2 linked regions of the Neurospora crassa OR74A genome follow. The protein of the gene in region 1 purifies or fractionates together with the protein of each later gene. This does not show direct contact. Links are inferred from orthologs where the notes say so. Each region holds a gene or a part of one and is shown on either strand. Other genes may lie near its edges.

Region 1 (9,480 bases):
CAAAAGGTGTGAATCTGAAATGCTGGCTGTCAATTGTTTACTTTGGAATTTCCCGTCGTTGTTGCGGCGACCGAACCCGACCCCATCGGATTGATTGACAGGTTTGGATCCGTCGCCAAGCAGCAGCTGTACATAATTGTGGACGAATGAGAACGCGACCGCAAAACTGTCCCCGCAGTTCAACAGACCCCTGTTATTCTGTTAACGGTCTTCAGCTGGTGGCAGGCAAGGCAGGCTGAGAGAGAGAGAGTCCACATTTTCAGGGCTGTGAAAGTGCTTAACCGAGCACGGACCCCCTCTACGCCGACGTCATTGCCTCGGCATAACATTTTGGAATCTTTTACAATTCTTCAACCATCATCAACACTGGATTGAATAGGCCTTGAACAATGGGGTTCTGCAAAAAAACGACTGAGAGCATCATGTCGCCATGTCTCAAAACAATGCTGACATTCGCAGCGGGAACAAATCCCGAGGAGAACAACCCCATATTACACTAGAGGGCAACTGGAACAAAAACAACTCCATCCTTTACACCGTCCCAACCCGGATTACTAATTCCGAACCTATCCCATCCGAGATCTGAACGACACCACTATATCCGCAGTGGCACTGCAGGGGATGACCTGTCAACTTGTTAATTCCAGTGCCGAACATGGGCGCGCCCTTCGCATGGCGTGATCGTCCTAACGAATGGCTTCAATTTCACCGTTCCCAGCGTTGAAGCAAGCGCACGTGTAAGTCCAACCTCGTGACGGAAAAACATCTCGACACTGGGATGCGCTGGTGTACAGCATCTTGTTGAATAACTATAATCCACTTAGCGCTTTGAAATCCTAATCAATGTTACTAATGTCAGTGAGGTTTTCTGGTTTTTATCACCGGTGTGATGTGAATGGAAGAAAATGTATATGTGAAGGAAGATATAAATCCGTTCACATCCACCACCCCATCACCGTTGTTTGAAAGACATTCAACAACAGCACTATCAACACCAAAGCAGCCGTATTATACTTGCTCAAGACACCTCCCACTACCCTATCCACAACCAAAGTTCCACCTTCCCATCCTATACCATCACACAATGACCATCACCACCTCAGAAGACCGCGTCCCCCGCGGTGACGTTGTCGCCCCCCTGAACTTCTACGAGCCCCCTTCGGACGGCTCAAGTCCCTTTAACAACATCGACCCGGCCCCCGGCGTTCCCGAGCGTAACTACTCTACCCAAACCCTCCCCGTCACCATCCACGACATCCGCGGCCTCGAGTCCTCCTTCACACTCGATAACGACGCCTTCCAAATTCTCCAGGGCCTCCCTCCCTCCGCCGAAGAAGACCCTGCAAAGAACGGCTCCAACTTCACCTCCGACGCCTCCATCTCCCAACTCTACTACCCCGAAGTCACCCGCCTCCTTCTGGACACCATCCCCGGTTCCAACAAAGTCATCATCTTCGACCACACCATCCGCCGCACCTCCCCCTCTGCGCCCCGTGGCCCAGTGCAGCGCGTACACATTGACCAAACCGCCTACTCCGTCGCGCAACGTGTGCGCCGACACGCTCCCTCTCCGGAGGAAGCCGAGCGGTTGTTGCAAGGGAGGTACCGCATCGTCAACGTATGGCGGCCGCTGAACAAAGGGCCCGTGGAAAGCTACCCGCTGGCGTTTGCCAGTTCACAGACGGTAGACGACAAAGATATAGTGCCCGTGGAGCATCGGTATAAGAATGGCTATACCGGTCAGACGGCCGCGGTGCTGCATGATGAAGGGCAAAAGTGGTACTTTTTGAGCGGCATGACGGGCGACGAAAGGATTCTGTTGGAGTGCTTTGATAGTTGGGCAGGCAGAGAGGACCTGGAGGAGGGGAGGAAGGTGAAAGGGGGAAGGGTGCCGCATACGGCTTTTGAGGATCCGAGACAGAGAGCGGATGCTGAGGGACGGGAGAGCATTGAGGTGAGGGCCCTGGTTTTTGGACCTTGACTTAGTGCATGTTCTCTTATGGTGGACACAGGAGGCGGGTTGGAGTATTCTCTAAGTGAATGAGAATAAGTAATGGTTTGATAGAGTTTAATGGCAGTTTTGAGGGATCGGATGCTGATAGGTGTTTGAACTCCTATGTCCGCGAACAATTTTTCTATATCGTGTTTGCGCCTTCATCGAGCTAGTAATAGTCACCAAAAAGTTAGTCAATGACTGTGAGTCTTGCTCAACGAAATCAGCTAATGAACTTCCGGCAACACCTCATGTGGTTGTCGATATTGATTTGGAATGGATAACATAAGCACAAAGCAAAGCGAAGCCTAGTAAACTCCCAAAATACGAGCGAGATGCCAAACAGTATGCGGTATAACCACGGTAATCAACGAACCAAATACGATGATACGTAATACCTATGGTAATGCTACAACTGCAGGCATGAAAGTGTTCAATGCTCAAGTAGCACCTGTAATAAAGTCCAGCCATGTTTCCTTAAACTCCGTAACCCCTTCAATGTATGCGCAACCCTCGATCCAGTATCTCAACAAACGCCTCTCTGTCCCTCTTTCCCTTCCTGTGCGCGATGGAGGCAAAACAGGCACCATCGTAAAGGAGCAAACATTCAGTGTAATATGTGAAGCACCTTGTGCCAGGCGGCGCTGGGCACTCTCTTTCGTCGTTGCAAACCGTTTACCACCGACCAATGCCCGAAGCTCTCGTCGTCAAAATCCGTTTCTTAATCATGTCTAGGCCGCCGTCCTGTTCAGCCACCGCGGCCGCCGCGTCCCTTTCTGCTGCTGGTCCGGCTCATCGCCACGCCGCCGTTGGCGCTAGACTGTCTGCTCATAGAGACACCCCCAAGCGCCTTAGCAGGAGACTGGTGATGAGACGGAGTACCCGAGCGGCCGCCCTTTGACGGGGTGCCGATACCGAGACCATTGATTGGCTCAGATCTTTCGGGCTCGACAGGCTCCTTGATCGGGGGAAGACCAAGGCGCTGCCTGAGTTCGTTCTCCGACGGCCGCTCGCCCTGGACAAATGACACAAATCTGCGGTCCTTGACCGGGAGCGACACCGATTGGAGAAGCTTCATGCTTCCATGCTCAGTCTGTAGATTGGCGCCCATGCCGTTAAGCTGGTCGTACTGCTTCAGGGCATGCATAACCATCAAGTCCCCGGTCACGTCGTCATTAGCCAGTGCTGCCGGTGTGTTAAACTCAGACTGCTTTGCATGGCCCTTGACGTATTGTGACGGGAAGGCAGGAGGCTGCTTAGGGTCCTGACTGCTAGTCAAACGCTCAAGGTTACCGGGGAAGTCGAAGTTAGCGAGCATCTCCAAGCCCATGAGTTTGTCGTCAAAGTTGGGATTGTTAGCCCCACTTTTGTTGCTGCGAGTAGCGTGCGAAACGTTCCTCTCCATCATCGGCGCCGACGGAGCCGACTCCGAGTCGAGATCATCAGGGTCGCCGCTACCGGAAACACTACCCTCGGGTGACGAGATAGGGCGCCCATAGTCGTCAAACCGTGGCTTATGGGTAAGAATGTATTTGTGCGCAGCCAAGGCCGACTGGTTGTAGGTCATTGACAATTCCTTGTCCGTGAACAGCTTGTCAATGCTGTAGATGGGGCCGGTGGTCTTGCGTTGGACCAGACGGTCGGTCTGCCATAGGGGTGTAGTGCTGTTGGGGTCGAGTGCACGGCGCTGTGGCGCTGGAGAACCGTCGTCATCATTCATGTTGCGCTTTCTTTTCTTGCTGTCCATGCCGTTCATCTCCTCCATTTCTCTCCGCAGGCGGGTGGCCCGCTTGCCGTGTGTGCCTCCGGGGCTGGCTGGGTTTGTGATGCTGAATTGGTTGGGGTGTAAGAGGAGTGCGGACGCATCGGCAATCTCGAGGGCCTCCTTCTCCTTGTTGAGCCGGTATTTTTTCGAAGTGATGATGTTGATCAGTCGGTCGCGGAGGGTCGAGGCAAGCGCCTTGTGTTCTCTGTTCGCAAGCTCCGTCTTATAGGCATGCGTATTGAGGTATTCGGCGATCTTCTTCTCGTAGTCAAACTGCGGAACCAAGAGTCAGCATTGGCACTTTGACTGGCGGAGCGTTGAACGGTTATGATCGGGAGACGTACTTTAAATTTGGTGAGAGCATAATCGCGTTGCTCTGCAAGATCCTGTACGTTCTCCATCCACTTGGCAAATTTGGGGCCAGCCATGTCAAGGAGGGATCGTGGACCACCGTCGGAGTCGGCGCCATTGAGCTGGTTGAGTCGTCTCTGATCCTCTTCGAAGCTGTCCAAAGGTCGATCGACATAGGGGTCGACTCGCATGACCAGACTGGTGTCAATCTGAATCTTTTGTAGTTGTTCGCGAAAGGCCTGGTCTCTGTCCTTGCTCCATTTGTCGGAAAGGGTTGCAATGCGTTCGGCAAGCATTTGGCGTCGCTTGTCTCTCTTAGACTGTGACTGTGACTGACCGGGAGGAGGAGAAGCGTTGGAGCGGCGATCAGGCCGCCCGGAAGGTGCGTCGGCCATGGTAACGTCGGTAGAAGCCATGGCGAAAGGGGGGTCCTCGTAAATATGTTTCTTGGTTGCCTGCTTTTTTATTGTATCCGGACCAGGTAAGACCAGGCGAGGCAAACCTCAAGGCGAGGCTGGTGGGCGGAAAAAAGAGAGCCCCAGTGCAGAGATTTGAGGCTAGAGGACGAGTAAGTCAAAGTCGACTGGACGACGGGAAGAGAGCTGCCCTCGTCCGCCGATGGACGGGCGCGCAGAATGGTTACAGCGCAAGGGCGAGAGAAAAGGAACGGCTTCTGGTGGTCGAAGCGGGTTTGGACATAGTCCTCATGGGATCTTTTGTGTATAATTGTCGACAGCGAGGGTACGTATGGTGCAGATGGAGAAATATGGAGTGGCAGAATGAAATGGGGTTGACAGCAGGTTGAGCCGAAGCAGAAGGACCGGAGAATGCAGTGCGGCACTACCTAGGTAGGTACAGGCAAACCAGCACAGGGAGGTCAGTGCAGGTCCCGTCGGCTCATTGTCCGGCCACCGGGTTGAATAATACTGTAGGTTGCTGCACAGCGCTTGGTTTCACCTTGCCCTGGCAGTGTTTACTGACTAGACATACAGTCCGGTGATCATGGAAGCTCCACCGCACAGGCGCTGTACCTAAGCGAGAGCAGTCTGCCGCAGGAAGCAGCGATAGGTTTGTATGAGCCGAGCTGATTGCTGAAGTGGATAAAGCTGAGATTCGCTCCGTCTTGTGGCTCAACCTGCGATGTGGCTGACTTGTATCATGTACATATACGCAAATTGCCTGCCGGAAGGAAGCTGGAATCATCCACTAAAAGCTTATGGCAGGAGCCGTGTAAGTAGAGTGGTAAAAAGATCTGTGCGACTCGGGCTGTCCTTCAAGGAACACACTTCTCGTCGCTGCCTCTCACCGTGAAAGTGGGGTGAACTGCACAAACAGCGGAGCAAGCCCAGGGCAGCCCAGGGCAGCAGCTATGTACTAAGGTAGGTATGTACGCAGTAGGTAGGTAGTAGTATGTGCGGGCAGGCAACGTCAGGGCGGGCAGCTGTCCCATCGCATCATTGCATCCCGCTTCCCATTCAACAACCTTGAAGACACCCCCCGAAACTTTACAGATGGACTAGAAGACATAGGCCATCTTCAGCACACAACCATGGAACACCTCTCGATAAACGATCAACCCCCACCGCCGCCCTTCCCTCAGGGCCCCGGCCAGCCTGGACCCGGCATGCCCCCGCCGGGACTCCTAGGAGGCGGCCGTCCTCCCCAGCCCCAGCAGTTGCCCGCGCAAATGTTCACCACAGCTGCCCAACTCCTCGACCTGACCGATAGTAAGAAGCAATATTGTGGACATATCTTTTGGACGGGAGGAACTAGGCTGACACGAGCGGCGGGGTACCAACAGAGAAGCTAATGGTAGCATTGCGCGACGGACGAAAGCTCACGGGCATCCTCCGCAGTTGGGATCAGTTTGGTATGCCTCCATGAACCTACCTCTCTCTTACAACACATGACCACCTATACACGCACGCACGAACGAGCACGAGTATGAAGAGGTAGCTGTGTTAACGCGAATCCACTTTTTTCCCACCATACTAGCCAACCTAGTACTACAACAGACAAAGGAGAGGATATTCGTGCCTCCAGGCACGCAGTCACCCACCCAGACCAGGGGGCTCTACGCCGACGTCGACCGGGGCCTCTTCGTTGTTCGCGGCGAGAACGTTCTCCTCATGGGCGAGATCGACCTTGACCGCGACGACGACCCGCCCCCGGGCTACGACCCTGCCGACCTCGAACTGGTGCAGACACTAGCCAAGCAGAAAAAGGCCGAGGAGAAGGCCAAGGAGAAGCGCAAGATCAAGAAGCTTTCCACCATTGGCTTCGAAGGGGAGAACGTAGGCGAGGCGCTTCTGTGAATGATATATGAATCACCCTCAAATTTTACAAATGGGACGGAAAGAAAGAGACGGGAGGAGAGACGACCAAAACTTTAACTTGTTATGATTTATACCTACATACCCCTGAAGTGGAAAGGGAGTGTCGAAGGAGGGAATGGCATGAGCGATTGGAAGCAGAATATTGTGAAATGCTATCCACTCAGCTGCGACTTCATACGAATGGAAGACCGCATGAAGCCTTACACCAAGGTCGGCCCAAGAAGACACCAAGTGTATTTTACCGTTAGAAAATTAGCAATTCGATGGATTGCCTCGAATCGAACCTGGCCACTACTGACTATGATCATGTTGGGAAAGGATAGCCCAGAGAGATATCCACGACTAACATTCTTTCCTAGGACTAGTCACATAGCCGGCACAAACCCATCGACTTCAACATCCTCCCACCCACCCGCCATCATCGATAACTACGCCGAGCTCGGGAAATGAGGCGTTGGCACTCATGACCAACCAACCGATTACCCAGCATCATCAAACTGAAAGATGATATGCAGCAAGTACTCAACCACCTGCTGCGGGGGTTGCGTTCCACATGCCAACAAAGGGGGGGTTGAACTTGTTTCGGTCGGAATAGGGAAATCCAATGTACCTCACGTTGATCCACTGAGGGTTCTGTATAAGCCGCTGGGAGATGTCGTTGTGGGCTGGGTTGGGCTGGCTGTAGGCCATCACTAGGTCTTTCGTAAGTCCACCACTATAAATCTGTGAAGTCGTCCATGAATGTATGGTTGGGCGTGGTGGGTAAACTGAAGTTGTACCAGCCCCATGTCGAGGGCGTGGCGTAGGGCTTGAAGGTCTGCAAACGCAAGAAAGAAGAAGGAGGGTAAGATGCCACAATTCCGGGTGCAAGCTCACTTGGGCTATCTCACGGTCATTGTCCTAGGCAAACCTTTATGATATACTTATCGGCGCAGTTTCAACTTGCTTGGGGCAAGTTACTTAATCTTGGCGGGCCCTTCTCCTCATCCTCATCTAATCGGGCACCACCCTAGGGCAAATCATGGATCGTCGACATGGTGAAGCCATTATTGGCCTGTCCACCCGATTGTCTGGGGGAAAGTGAGGGGAATAGCTGTCCGGGAGAAGGTAAAGTTGGACACATAAAAGACATTTAGCTATTTCTCATTGTCTCCGGTCGCCGTTGTCCCCAAGGTCGTTGATTGCGGGGTGCATTGGCGTCGTTGTGAACGAAGAAGCTCGGTGGGAGAACCTCGAGATGAATCTTCCACCATCCCGGTGCAACATGTGTTTTCAAACATGAACGATGGACCACCCAACGACAGCTGTACGGATAGTCCCGCACAAAGGAAGCCTCGGAGATGAACAGCCCCATGGGTAAGAGGAGTTGTTTGCCATGTGCGTGGCTGCTCTAGCGAGACCGGGAGTGCCGTCCACCCGCGATTCGAAACGTCCCATGCTCCACCGGATGGAGGCTGTGTGGAGATGTGTTTATGGAGAGAATCCATATCCAAACGGATCCTTTCAGCCGGTCCCATTGTCAAAAACCGCCGGCAACTGAACTCAAACAGGTATGGCAGTTTTCCGAAGCTCAAGGCATGCAACGGTCCTTGCGATGATCGATGGTAACAGTTCGCCGCGACTGTGGTTAGGGTCAGTATCTGCCCATTTTTTTTTATTCTTGGTGTATGTCTTTCGCACGTGTAAGGATGTTGCTATGGAAAGAAGCTTTGATACCTCGCTCGCTTTTGTCAATAAAAGTGAAATGTCACCTTATAAAGCAGTGAATGGAGCCGCGAATGGGAATGACCCCACTACCGACGAACCTTATGCGGGGACATGGCAGGCGCTAAGAGCTTCCCGGCTGCCCCTGCCCAGCCGCTGTGCCATCAAAGAGCCCGCTCATGATTCGCTGCGGCCAGCACGAACCTGGCTGTCGTTGTCTGGAGGTCTGGCGCATCCATCCGTCAAGGTAAACAATTAAAACATGCCCCGTTTCTTCCTCTCCCTTTAAATGTCCTCAACAAACACACTACCTCTGCTTCTACCCTTATACCAACACTCGGCCGGCTAAAATTTCAAGTTAGCGACATCTGGTCTTGATCTTCCGGCATCCGGTATCTGGCGCATTTGCTTGTATCGGTACGTGTCCGCCCTCCCACGGTCATGCGACAAGGACCATTCCTGTTGCCCAGCCCAATGTCACCCGCCAACAAATGACATACCAGCTGCGCCCGCCGCTAACTTGTGCAACCACTTGTCGCAGCTCACCAAACATCCTTCTGAACATATCCAACATTTCTTGGTTGTCGCCATGAGCTCCTTTCTTACGACCGTGTACGTTGAGCCCTCCCCCTTTTCCCGCCCTTGACAGGCCCATCGCGAATAGTTGGCGATGCGATGACGTAATTTGGCAACGAAGCGAGGACAAGCTCGCTCGCCGTCGCATCCATCTCCTTTCCAGGAGGTGCAACACACCGCATAACTGGAAGGTCTTTCGACCTCCTCAGTAAAGCCATGAATTCTATCTTGTGTGGGATAGCTGTTAACATGATTTGCCGCTAGAAATCAGCGGACGCGCAACCAGTTCCGACCTCGGGCGAGCGGCAAGGGCGGTGCGACCAGCTACCAGCTGCGACAATATGCCGAAGCAACACTTGGCGGAGGAAGTTTGCGCAAAGTGGTGAAGCTGCCTGAGGGTGAAGACGAGAATGAGTGGTTGGCTGTCAACAGTGAGCATCAACCCCGCCGACCCAGCTTGTTTTGCTCCAGGGCCATCCGCTGACCCGCTATGCTAGTGGTGGACTTCTACAATCAAATCAACCTCCTTTATGGCGCCATTACCGAGTTCTGCTCTCCCCAGACTTGCCCCGAAATGAAGGCGACCGACGAGTACGTTTCCATCACAACATCATACACCGCGACCAACACACTGACAGAGTTTAGGTTCGAGTACTTGTGGCAGGACACGGAGAACTACAAGCGACCGACCAAGATGCCTGCGCCCGCTTACATTGAACAGCTCATGAGCTGGGTCCAGGGCAACATCGACAACG
Region 2 (10,429 bases), on another chromosome or scaffold:
ACGCGGAGGAGTTCCTGGTGGCGGGCTTGTACGTTGCCGAGGACGGCCTTGGCGGCGCCGACGCGGTTAGATTGTAGAAGCTATTGGGCAGGAATTAGCAAGCGTGAAAGTAAGAAATTCAAGTGGAGAACAACATACAGCACTCTGGAAGATCTGATCCTGCTGCATGTCGCCGTTGCGCACAGCATCCTGTTCCTGGGGCGTCGCATCGGGGTTGACAATCAAGAGCTGACGAACGGCCTGCTCGCCAATCTGGCCCTTGTGGCGGCGCTCCTCCACAAGGTAGGCCTGAATAGCATCCTTGTACAGATCCCTGAGGCGCTCGGCCTGGCGCTTCTTGGTGTTGAAGGTACCGTCGCCGGTCCGGGTGGCATCAGAGACAAGGTTGTCGACTTCGGTCTTGATCTGTGACTTGAGCTGCTCGGTCACGGCCTGCAGCTGCTCGAGGCCGGGGGGCGGGCGGCCGCTGGTGTCGGAGAGGGACTGTTGGTGAAGAGTGCGAATCTGGTCGAGGTTTGCGCGGAACTGTTGGATGTGGCCTTCGACATCGCGGACACTGTTCAAGAATTCTTGCTGGGATAGAGGAGCGCCGGTGGCCGTGGTATCAGGGCCGTGGGGTTGACGTTGTTGCTGGCCATATGTCTGCATCTCGTGTGATTCGGGCTGCTGCAAGGGAGTAGGTTAGTTAATTGCATTGCGACTCGATATCATCGGATTGAATGAGTCGAGAGATGCGATGAAGAGGTTCGTCAAAGGACCATATGGAGGGAGCTTGCTCACTTGACCGTAGCCGTTGTTGTCGTAACCTCCACCATAGTTGCCGCCATAGCTGCCGCCATAACCGCCCTCGGCCGAAGGACCGTCGTTGTAAGGGCTAGGCTGACCGTAGGGATTTTGATTATAAGACATGGTTGCTACTGTTTGGATAATTTCTGAGATGAAGCCGCTTGTGCTCGATTCAATTGCACGGACGTGGATGTGCCGGTGGAGTGGTTGGCGGTGGTTGTCGTTTTTCCAATGGTGACAATACTTAGGTTAAGAGGGGAGAAGCCAATAGATTAATGGATTAAGATAGGAATAACCTGGGTAGGTAGGTAGGTACGGATCGATGGAAGACCGGGGGCGCCGGGTGGTATCGATTGACTGCAGTGTTTTTGTTGTCGCAACTGAAAGTGGTCGACAACAAGGGAACCTCGGAAGGAAGGAGTGTTGTAAGGAACTGAAGTGAAGGTAAGAACAAGAGCCCAGCCAGCCTCACATGAACTGATGGATGGATGATGCCGCCCGCTGACCTAACTCGAGCGAAAAAGACCGTCGGACGTTTGAACAGGCTGCTTCCTTCTGCTCTGACCAGTCACCGAACGAACTGAATGCAAAAAGACGGAGAGGGCAGTGACCTGCAGCGACGGAGCGCTTCTCGTTTAAATTTGGGGGTGCAGCAGCGACGGAGTGTTCCAGGGGCGACCAATGGCCAATGGTTTGGGGCCAAGGAAGCGGGCTGTGGGCTGGCGATCTTCTAACGCCGGGCAAGTTTTTGGGATTTTGGGATTTTGGCGGTGCGGCCGTGAGCTGTTAACGCAGTACGGCTTAGTCGTCCCAAGACGGATTAGTTTCAGGGCACTTTTCGTTAGCAAGGTACCGAGGCCGGACGGAGCGAATGACCCGCAAAATCCTTCTTCTCGTGTTTTTCTTGCTCTTGTTTCTTACAAGGTTCGTTCCGTGTTCTTGATTCTATGTGTCGGAGCGAAAATGTTCAGAAAAGTTGGCTTCGGATATGAATGGTACCAGTGATAAAAGATATATATTATTCGTCCAATCTATTGTACACCTCAAGCAATGCGATGAAATCAGAGACGTCCTTCACATTGCAGGACACAAACCCTGAACGGCGTTGATCGAGGGAAGGCCTAGAATTATATGTACCGAAGCTCCAGAGAGGAGAAGGGCTGAACAGGGCGGTGGCTGAGAGAGAGGCTGAAAGGTGTTTGCAGATGAGTTTGCACTATATTCCAAGCTTCTTCACATCATTCCACGGAGCTGTCTTGAACCGTGGCCATGGATGATCCATATCCCTGTCTCTCTGTTGATGATGAATGCTGAGCCAGACTCCGACTCAAAACCACAATGGGAAAAGAGTCTCGGTCACAGCGGGTTTCCGACCCACGTCTCCAGTTGTTGCTGTGCCCAAGGTCAGCTGCATCCTGCACGGAATGCAGCATCAAGGCACAAGCTTCAAGAGCTGACGACTTCAGACTGCTGAGAGGTTGTTTGTTATTGTCAAAAGATGGGAAGGAAGAGGGCACCGCAAAGTACAGCTTTAACAGCCGCATGAACTCGGAGTGTTAAACGTGGTAAAATCTCCGCTGTCAAGAACCCCGACTTATCGTCGCATTCACCACGTGGACGGGAGGATGGCAAACTTTGATCGCCTAATTCTCCAATGGCAGAGGAATGGACAAGCTACAAATCTTTCTGTTGCCGCCCTGTGACGATATCGTCAATTGTGAACCGGCAATTGGCACTTGCGCTGTCCCCAGAGTTGGAAGTGAGGAACCAATCGCCGGTGTGGAACCTTCAAAAGAGCGTGCAGGCGGCCCCACGGAACACCGTCTCCACGTCGACGCGCCCCCTTTTGTTTGGAATGGAGCCCCAAGGAGAAAAGGGGTCCTTTTCCTTCCCACTGGTAGAAAGCTTGGCAGATCATATTTCGAGTTCATCGACCAATTGCTTTATGTTTCTGATCTGATCTCATTGAGTTGCACACTTCAGCCAAGTCCCCGCCTTGCTGCTGAGCCGCTCAAACAGCCTTTCTTTCTTTACATGCCAGCACTCAGTCCCAAATGGAAGCACCCGTTCGACCACATGTTTTGTTTATTCCGCGCTCAGCTGAGAAATGATATACCTTTACACCCTCAACTCCGGTCCGTTTCCTGATATGTGAACCCAATGCTCTTAAAATTACATCCAAATCCCAACATTGGTATCTCATGAGACTGCTGCTCCCTTTTTTGTCCCATCCTCCAGCCCCATCGTTGCGTGCGTTACCTCCAGTGTGACATGTCGTTGATAGACATGACATGCTCGTTTCACCGCGGGAACCTTCCGATCCTCACAGCCACTCGGCAAGCAGCCGACCCAGCAACCACGCCCATCACCAGTCAGACGTTGATGCGATCATCTCTGGTTCCACTAGAGTGCCGAAGCTGGAACACAGTACTCGCTATCTTGGCCAGCCACGTACTACCTCGGGCGGTAGAGGAGAATATAAGCGAGAATTCGGCTAGGCATCTGAGCGGTCTTCCCATTGCCTCCTGCTACTGAGCAGCAGACAAATTGGTGAAAAGGGCTTTCCGCCACCAGATCGTGTCTTTGCGTTTCCCCTGGCTATCCTTTTTTCAGGTTTGTCCGGCGCAATCATCAGGTCCAGTGCTTGACGTTCGTGGCCCAGCAGCAACTTGTCTCGGAAGCCATGCTCACTTGCTGTGACATCCCACCCAATCCAACCGATAATAACACGACTATAGCGGCCCTTTTGTTCCAATCACCGCTTAAAAGTAGTTCTTTTTCCTGCTGGTCCTGGTGTACTGGCTGAGGTGCCATTCGGTATCCGCATCCTTGTTGTCGAGGGTGCCCATGGTGATCTTGAAGGGCTTCATCGTAAACCGGGGTCCAACCTCACTGAGCTCGACCGAGTCGTACGAGGTGCGGACATAGACGTGGTGCCTGACCTCAATCGTATCGTCGTTGTTGACAAATGTTATGACTCTGTTGCCGACGTTGGGTTTCTGTGTCGGCTCGCGGGGAGGGAAGAGGTGCTTGAGGATCTTGACCACTCGCTCACCGAGTTTGGTGCTGAAGCCCTCGAAAATTAGCCTGGGGTAGCTTTCGCTGACTGTGCCCTTTATCGACTTGGGAATATCGGCGCGGAGAACGACGTTGTGGAGGGAGACCATGAGCGTCGGGCCATGGGGCTATAGCAAGGATTAGAAAATGCGTTTTGCAAGTACAACAACATGCCTGGAGGGACAACGTACGAAATGGGAAATGGTCATGGCGGTAGGGACACCACGGTGCTCGTGTAGCAAAACAACATCCGTCAAGTTTTGCGCCTTGGCGGCGCCAACAAGGTCTTCCAAAACGAGGTTACCACGGTTCAGCCGAACACTGGTGGGTAGTAGGAGACGGATTTCCTTGCTGAACTGGCCGAGTCTGCTGGAGGGATCGCGACTTGTCGTAACCAAGATTCTGGGGTCAATGACACCCGACAACTCCGAGTATTCGTCGTCGATATCGATGGCGTCTCCGTTCACATCCCTCGAAACATCGTAGTCGAAGTCCTTTCGCAATTCCTTGTCCTTCGCAATCTCGGGGTCGAGTGGCTTGCCCGAGGCCAGGGCAGACCTCAGCTTGGCGCGCTTCTCTGCAACCTCGGCCTCCTTGAGCAGGAGGGCTCTTCGGTAAAGGTAGTCCCGCCTTTGGCGAGCTTGCTTTCTCTATTGCAGATGTTAGTCATGGACATTGAGAAACTTGGAGAAGATGACGAGTAGACAGGGACACTTACAATCATCTTGTTGTGTTGACACGCTTATCAGACGGTAATAAGTGATTCGGTGGAAGGGATCGCGCCGAGCTCTCAGAGTCGTGTTGTCGAAAGTGGTAGTAATGAGGTTGTCGATAAGAATTAAGGCTGCGAAGACTGGCAGAAATTCAGATGTTCCGGGTCGATACTAGTGGAGGGCGGAGTGGTTGGTGACGACAGGGGTGTTCACAGAGAAAAAAGTCGAAAAAAGTTACAATCGAATGGGACTAAGCGCGAGGTGCACGGATCTTTTCAGCTTGGCGGATACCTATTGGCTTAGGTCCCGTCGATTTGCGCCTGCCGGGAAAGAGATCGCGCCTGGGTCGCCCGGTTCAACGCCACCTTAGGTACCCTGGCTCCCTTCGCTGCAGCTTGTGCCGGTTTCCCAGTACCTACCTACCTACTTGCTGCCCGCTTTCTAGAATACAGGGCAGTTTCAGGCGCTATGACTGCCCGTGCTTCTCAAACAGCTGAGCCCAGAACTGGAGGCTGCTGATAGAAGGCCGTCGGATATCAAACAAGGGAACGACGAACCTCCAACCTGAACCGCAACCGTGACCCGTCCGCCAACACAAACTGAACGGAAGTCGGCCACCGGCAAAATTCCCCCAAGCAAACAACAACCGTGACCTTGAACGGCGGCAACCAAACCATTTGCTTCACAACACCAAGAACAACCTTAAGCGAGCCGATCAGTGGTCTCACTCTGCATCAGCACCTCGACGTTCTGGCAGTGTCGTCGTTTCGAAAGCCCCCGCGCGCAACACAGCCCGCTCGCCGATCCAATCCGTTATGCGATGATGTGACCTTTTAGACGACGTCCAAGCCCATAATCTACATCTTTCCATAGTCCCGCATTGCGACAACCCGCAATACGACAGCCACACCTTTTACCTTTCGACAAAACTTCCGGGTGTGAACTCTTCAAGGTACGCCGCTTGTTTGCGTGTCATGTTCATGTAAACACTGAAATACACATCCCTCCCCAACAGCCCGCTCAACAGCTACAGGCTGGACCGCGGCGTATACCAACAGTACCTTACTTATCTCGTTCCCCAACGATACCTGCCTGACCCTACGTTACTGTTGCGAATTTCCCTCCCAGACACTTACTGACCAGCTGCTGGTGCTCCAGAGTTTACCTCCGTCAACCCACTCGCCATCATGGCCAACATGGAGGTGTCCTTCACACACCTTGGAAACCACTTGGTTTCCGACTCTGCTGCTGCCATCAAGGCCGGTGGCTCCGACGAACTGTCCAATATCGATCCCGATGAGAACCTCCTCTACGGTGTCTACGGTGGACGTGGTCCCCGCGGCAATGGTAGACGCCGCCACGATGACGACGACAACGAGACCGAGGTCCTTGATGACGATGATGACGAGAGTTTGGCCAGCGTTCCAGTCGACGGCATGAAGAGCCTCAAGCTGGATGCCCCCGTGGAGGAGAAGGAACTGCCTCCCCACGCCTGTGCCTACTGTGGCATCCACTCGCCCTCTAGCGTCGTCAAGTGCCTTACCTGTAACAAGTGGTTCTGCAGCGCCAAAGGAAGCGCCTTCTCGTCCCATATCGTCAACCACCTTGTTCGCGCCCGTCACAAGGAAGTTCAACTTCACCCCGAGTCCTCCCTCGGCGATACCGTCCTCGAATGTTACAACTGCGGCACCAAGAATGTCTTCATCCTCGGTTTCATCCCTGCCAAGTCAGACACGGTTGTGGTCCTCCTCTGCCGCCAGCCGTGTGGTGCTAGTACGTCGACCAAGGATATGAGCTGGGATATATCCAGGTGGCAACCCTTGATCGAAGACAGGGCTTTCCTCAACTGGCTCGTCACCCCTCCCACGGATGCTGAGCAGCTTCGTGCTCGCCATCTCACGCCGCCCATGATTGCCAAGCTCGAGGAAATGTGGAAGGAGGCACCGAACGCGACTGTTGCCGACCTCGAAAAGACTGCCGGAGTCGATGATGATCCTCACCCGGTCTTGCTCAAGTACGACGACCCTTATCATTATCAGAACATCTTCGGCCCTCTCGTCAAGATGGAATCCGACTACGACAAAAAGCTGAAGGAGGCCCAGTCTGAGGATGGCCTTCAAGTCCGCTGGCATCTGGGTCTCAATAGTAAACACGTCGCCAGCTTCATCCTTCCCAAGATCGAGTCCGGTGACGTTAAGCTGGCCGTTGGCGATGAGATGCGTCTCAAGTACAAGGGAGAGCTGCGCCCGCCTTGGGAGGGTGTTGGATATGTTATCAAGATTCCCAACAACCAGTCCGACGAGGTTGAGGTGGAACTTCGCAAGTCAGCCAATGACAAGTCTGTCCCCACGGAATGCACACACAATTTCTCGGCCGACTATGTGTGGAAAGCGACTTCCTATGACCGCATGCAGCTGGCCATGAAGACCTTTGCCGTCGACGAGATGAGTGTTTCTGGTTACATCTTCCACAAGCTGCTGGGACACGAAGTCCAGGTTGCCCCGACAAAGATTACGATGCCCAAGAAGTTCCACGTTCCCGGTCTCCCTGAGCTCAATGCCAGCCAAATTGCCGCCATCAAGCAGGTCTTGTCCAACCCTCTGAGCCTTATCCAGGGTCCTCCGGGAACTGGCAAGACCGTCACTTCGGCCACCATCATCTACCATCTTGCCAAGATGAGCAACAGCCAAGTTCTTGTTTGCGCCCCATCCAACGTTGCTGTGGACCAGCTCTGTGAGAGGATCCACAGAACCGGCCTGAAGGTCGTTCGCTTGACCGCCAAGTCCCGTGAGGATGTCGAGTCCTCCGTCAGTTTCCTGGCTCTCCACGAGCAAGTTCGCATGAATACTACCAACAAGGAACTTGATGGTCTCGTCAAGCTCAAGACCGAGACCGGCGAGCTGTCTTCTCAGGATGAAAAGAGGTTCAAGCAGCTGACGCGCCAGGCCGAGCGTGAGATCCTGCAAAACGCTGATGTAGTGTGCTGCACCTGTGTTGGTGCCGGAGATCCGCGACTTTCCAAGATGAAGTTCCGCAATGTGCTCATCGACGAGTCTACACAGTCTGCCGAACCCGAGTGCATGATTCCACTGGTCCTTGGATGTAAGCAGGTTGTCCTGGTTGGTGACCACAAGCAGCTTGGCCCTGTCATTATGAACAAGAAGGCCGCCAAGGCTGGCCTTAACCAGTCGCTCTTCGAGAGGTTGGTCAAGCTTCAGTTTACCCCCATTCGCTTGAAGGTCCAGTATCGTATGCATCCTTGCCTCTCTGAGTTCCCCTCCAATATGTTTTACGAAGGATCGTTGCAAAACGGCGTCACTGCCGCCGAGAGACTTCGCAAGGATGTTGATTTTCCCTGGCCGGTCCCTGAGACTCCCATGATGTTCTGGTCCAACTTGGGCAACGAGGAAATATCGGCCTCGGGCACATCGTACCTCAACCGGACTGAGGCTGCCAATGTCGAGAAGATTGTCACACGCTTCTTCAAGGCTGGTGTCAAGCCTGCTGACATCGGTGTCATTACGCCGTACGAGGGTCAGCGCAGCTACATTGTCAATACCATGCAGAACACTGGCACGTTCAAGAAGGAATCCTACAGGGAAGTTGAAGTCGCTTCCGTTGATGCCTTCCAGGGTCGAGAGAAGGATTTCATTGTGCTGTCCTGCGTTCGCTCCAACGAGAACCAAGGCATCGGTTTCCTTTCGGATCCCCGTCGTCTCAATGTCGCCCTCACCCGTGCCAAGTACGGTCTGGTGATTATTGGTAACCCCAAGGTTCTCTGCAAGCATGAGCTCTGGCACCACCTTCTCGTCCACTTCAAAGACAAGAAGTGTCTCGTCGAAGGTCCCCTCACAAACCTCCAGCCTTCCCTCTTGCAGTTTGGCAGACCTCGCCAGGCCTACCGGCCGCAACGCAGCCACACTCAACATGTTGCCAGCGGTCCCTCTAATGGCCGGTTCGCTGCTCCCTTGACTGCCGGCTCCGTCAGGGATTATGAGACTGGTTCTATGGTCTCGTACATCCCGGATGATGTCTCCTCCATCCACAGCTCCGCCCTGGGAGGTGCTGCTTTGAGCTCTGGTTACCCTGCCATGTTCTCGAACTTCCACCCTGAGGCGTGGGCTGGTTTGCCGTGTGCTGGTCCCAACGGACGCCCAGGCGCCAAGGGCCGTGGTCGTGCGACAGAGAGCATCGCAGGCGAGAGCGTCGCCAACAGCGAGTTCACTGATGCCACTTCCAGTGTCATCGGCGGCAAGGGTATCGGACAGGGCGGCGCGAGTCTCGGTGCTGGCCTTAGCGAGGCCATCGGATCAGCCCGCCCTACTTCTTACAGCCAGAGCGATCGCCTTAAGCAGTATGTCGAAAGCAATGGTCGTATGGGAGTCGGCAACGGATACCGCCGTTACGATGACGACGAGAAGAGCGTCAGCACTGCTTTTGCCAGTCAGATCGGGACAGGTTTCGATTGAGCCATTAGATCCTAGGCGTTGTTGGTCTCCCTCTTCCTCTCGTGGAAGCGCACGACACAATGCTTATAGTTCTCTTGAACCTAAACGGCGGTATAGCATATGGACCTATTATGTGTCACTTGGTGAGCACGACAGACTTATTCTGTTGACACGCTACCGATAGCCTTCGGGCTGGCGGGCAGAAGACAACTTACCCTTCTCCAGCTTGGATTCGCCCAACTGAAGCTGCAAGGAGTTGTTGCTGCTCTCTGAAAGCCAATCCTTCACATAGGCTTCTTCAAGGTGTGGATGATCAGCCTACATACCCTCTGCGCAATAGTCTCGTGCAAGCTGAACCCCAAGCATACGGGAACAAGGCATCTTCACACACCTTCGTCTAAGGTTGCACATCAAATCAGACGTGCATACGGACTCAAGCAACGGACGGGTATCCAAGGAGGGTTTTGTCATCGTTCGGATGTACGGAGCCGGATGAGGTCGACCCACACTTGGTATTGGGGGAAAAACGTTGGGTTAGCTGGCGGTCGAATTTGCATGGTTGCGGAAGCGCCTGGTCAAATGCGATCTACCCAGGAAGAAGTCACCACTCGATCTGTTGCTTCCGGGCAGGTGGAGAGTTGGATATCTTCTTTCGTGGTAGAATGATGACCGAATGAAACGGCAAAGCCTGCAAGTCAATCAACGCAGAGAGTGGTTGGTTTACACCGATACGCTCACTCCATCCAGTCTTAAGCTTTCACGTACCACCAGCCAGCCTGAGTTAGTCTTTTTTCACTTCGTTTTCAAGCGTGCTTCACTGGGACTCACTCGTCCAGGCTCACTCGTCCAGGCTCACTCAATCCCATACCCTCCTTAAAAGAGAAGTTGTCGGTTGATAAGCCTGGACAAATCCAGTGAGCACTGCGTTTGATAGTTAGTTGATATTCGTCCCTCTGGACTTCCTAACCAAAGTCACTCATTATTTTATGACCAGAGATGGGGTAGAGATAGTTTTCAAACAGAAAAGAGAGATGGGAGGAGTCTCAACATGGACAAGAAAGGAAAAACAAGAAAATCAAAAAAAAAGAAAGGCAAGAGAAAAAGAAAGAAACAGCGTTGGAAATTATCAGATAGAGAGAGGGTAACGCAAGAGGAGTAGGTGTGAACGGTCATAGCTATTCACATATACTTACACTGGGAATCTGGAAACGTATCATGGGTACCTACCTACTTATTCAGATAGCTTATTTGAACTTCGTTTCCCGCTGGTTTTAGTAATTTTCTCCGTGACACGAAGATGGGTGAATGTTGTGTATGACGGTTGTTGACCGAGTTGCCCAACCATTGTGAAGACTGAAAACCCTCTATCATGAGCTGACGATTTTTGTTCTTTCCAAGAACGTGGTATTATGTATATTACTACAA

The links. The genes of interacting proteins can lie anywhere in the genome.
Region 2: the proteins of NCU01601 (region 1) and prd-6 purify together in Saccharomyces cerevisiae (affinity purification with mass spectrometry; 3 studies listed by BioGRID, with this or other methods). This does not show direct contact. The link is inferred for Neurospora crassa OR74A from reciprocal best matches to the Saccharomyces cerevisiae genes LSM1 and NAM7.

What each region holds. Positions count from the first base shown.
Region 1 is NC_026502.1:2,978,732-2,988,211, reverse strand, and holds NCU01601 (hypothetical protein), read left to right. Parts: upstream 1-5,394; 5' UTR 5,395-5,658; coding exon 5,659-5,836; intron 5,837-5,910; coding exon 5,911-5,979; intron 5,980-6,104; coding exon 6,105-6,424; 3' UTR 6,425-6,728; downstream 6,729-9,480. Other genes in the region: NCU01598 (methyltransferase), read left to right, coding at 896-1,981; NCU01599 (hypothetical protein), read right to left, coding at 2,742-4,031, 4,103-4,525; mob-1 (protein kinase regulator), read left to right, coding at 8,739-8,761, 8,990-9,156, 9,223-9,316. UniProt on the Saccharomyces cerevisiae protein: Component of the cytoplasmic LSM1-LSM7 complex which is involved in mRNA degradation by activating the decapping step.
Region 2 is NC_026505.1:5,327,380-5,337,808, reverse strand, and holds prd-6 (ATP-dependent helicase NAM7), read left to right. Parts: upstream 1-4,988; 5' UTR 4,989-5,508; intron 5,509-5,714; 5' UTR 5,715-5,743; coding exon 5,744-9,025; 3' UTR 9,026-10,272; downstream 10,273-10,429. Other genes in the region: syn-2 (syntaxin 2), read right to left, coding at 1-80, 139-666, 781-909; NCU04243 (U3 small nucleolar ribonucleoprotein IMP4), read right to left, coding at 3,549-3,971, 4,035-4,493, 4,562-4,567. UniProt on the Saccharomyces cerevisiae protein: RNA-dependent helicase required for nonsense-mediated decay (NMD) of aberrant mRNAs containing premature stop codons and modulates the expression level of normal mRNAs. Also capable of unwinding double-stranded DNA and translocating on single-stranded DNA.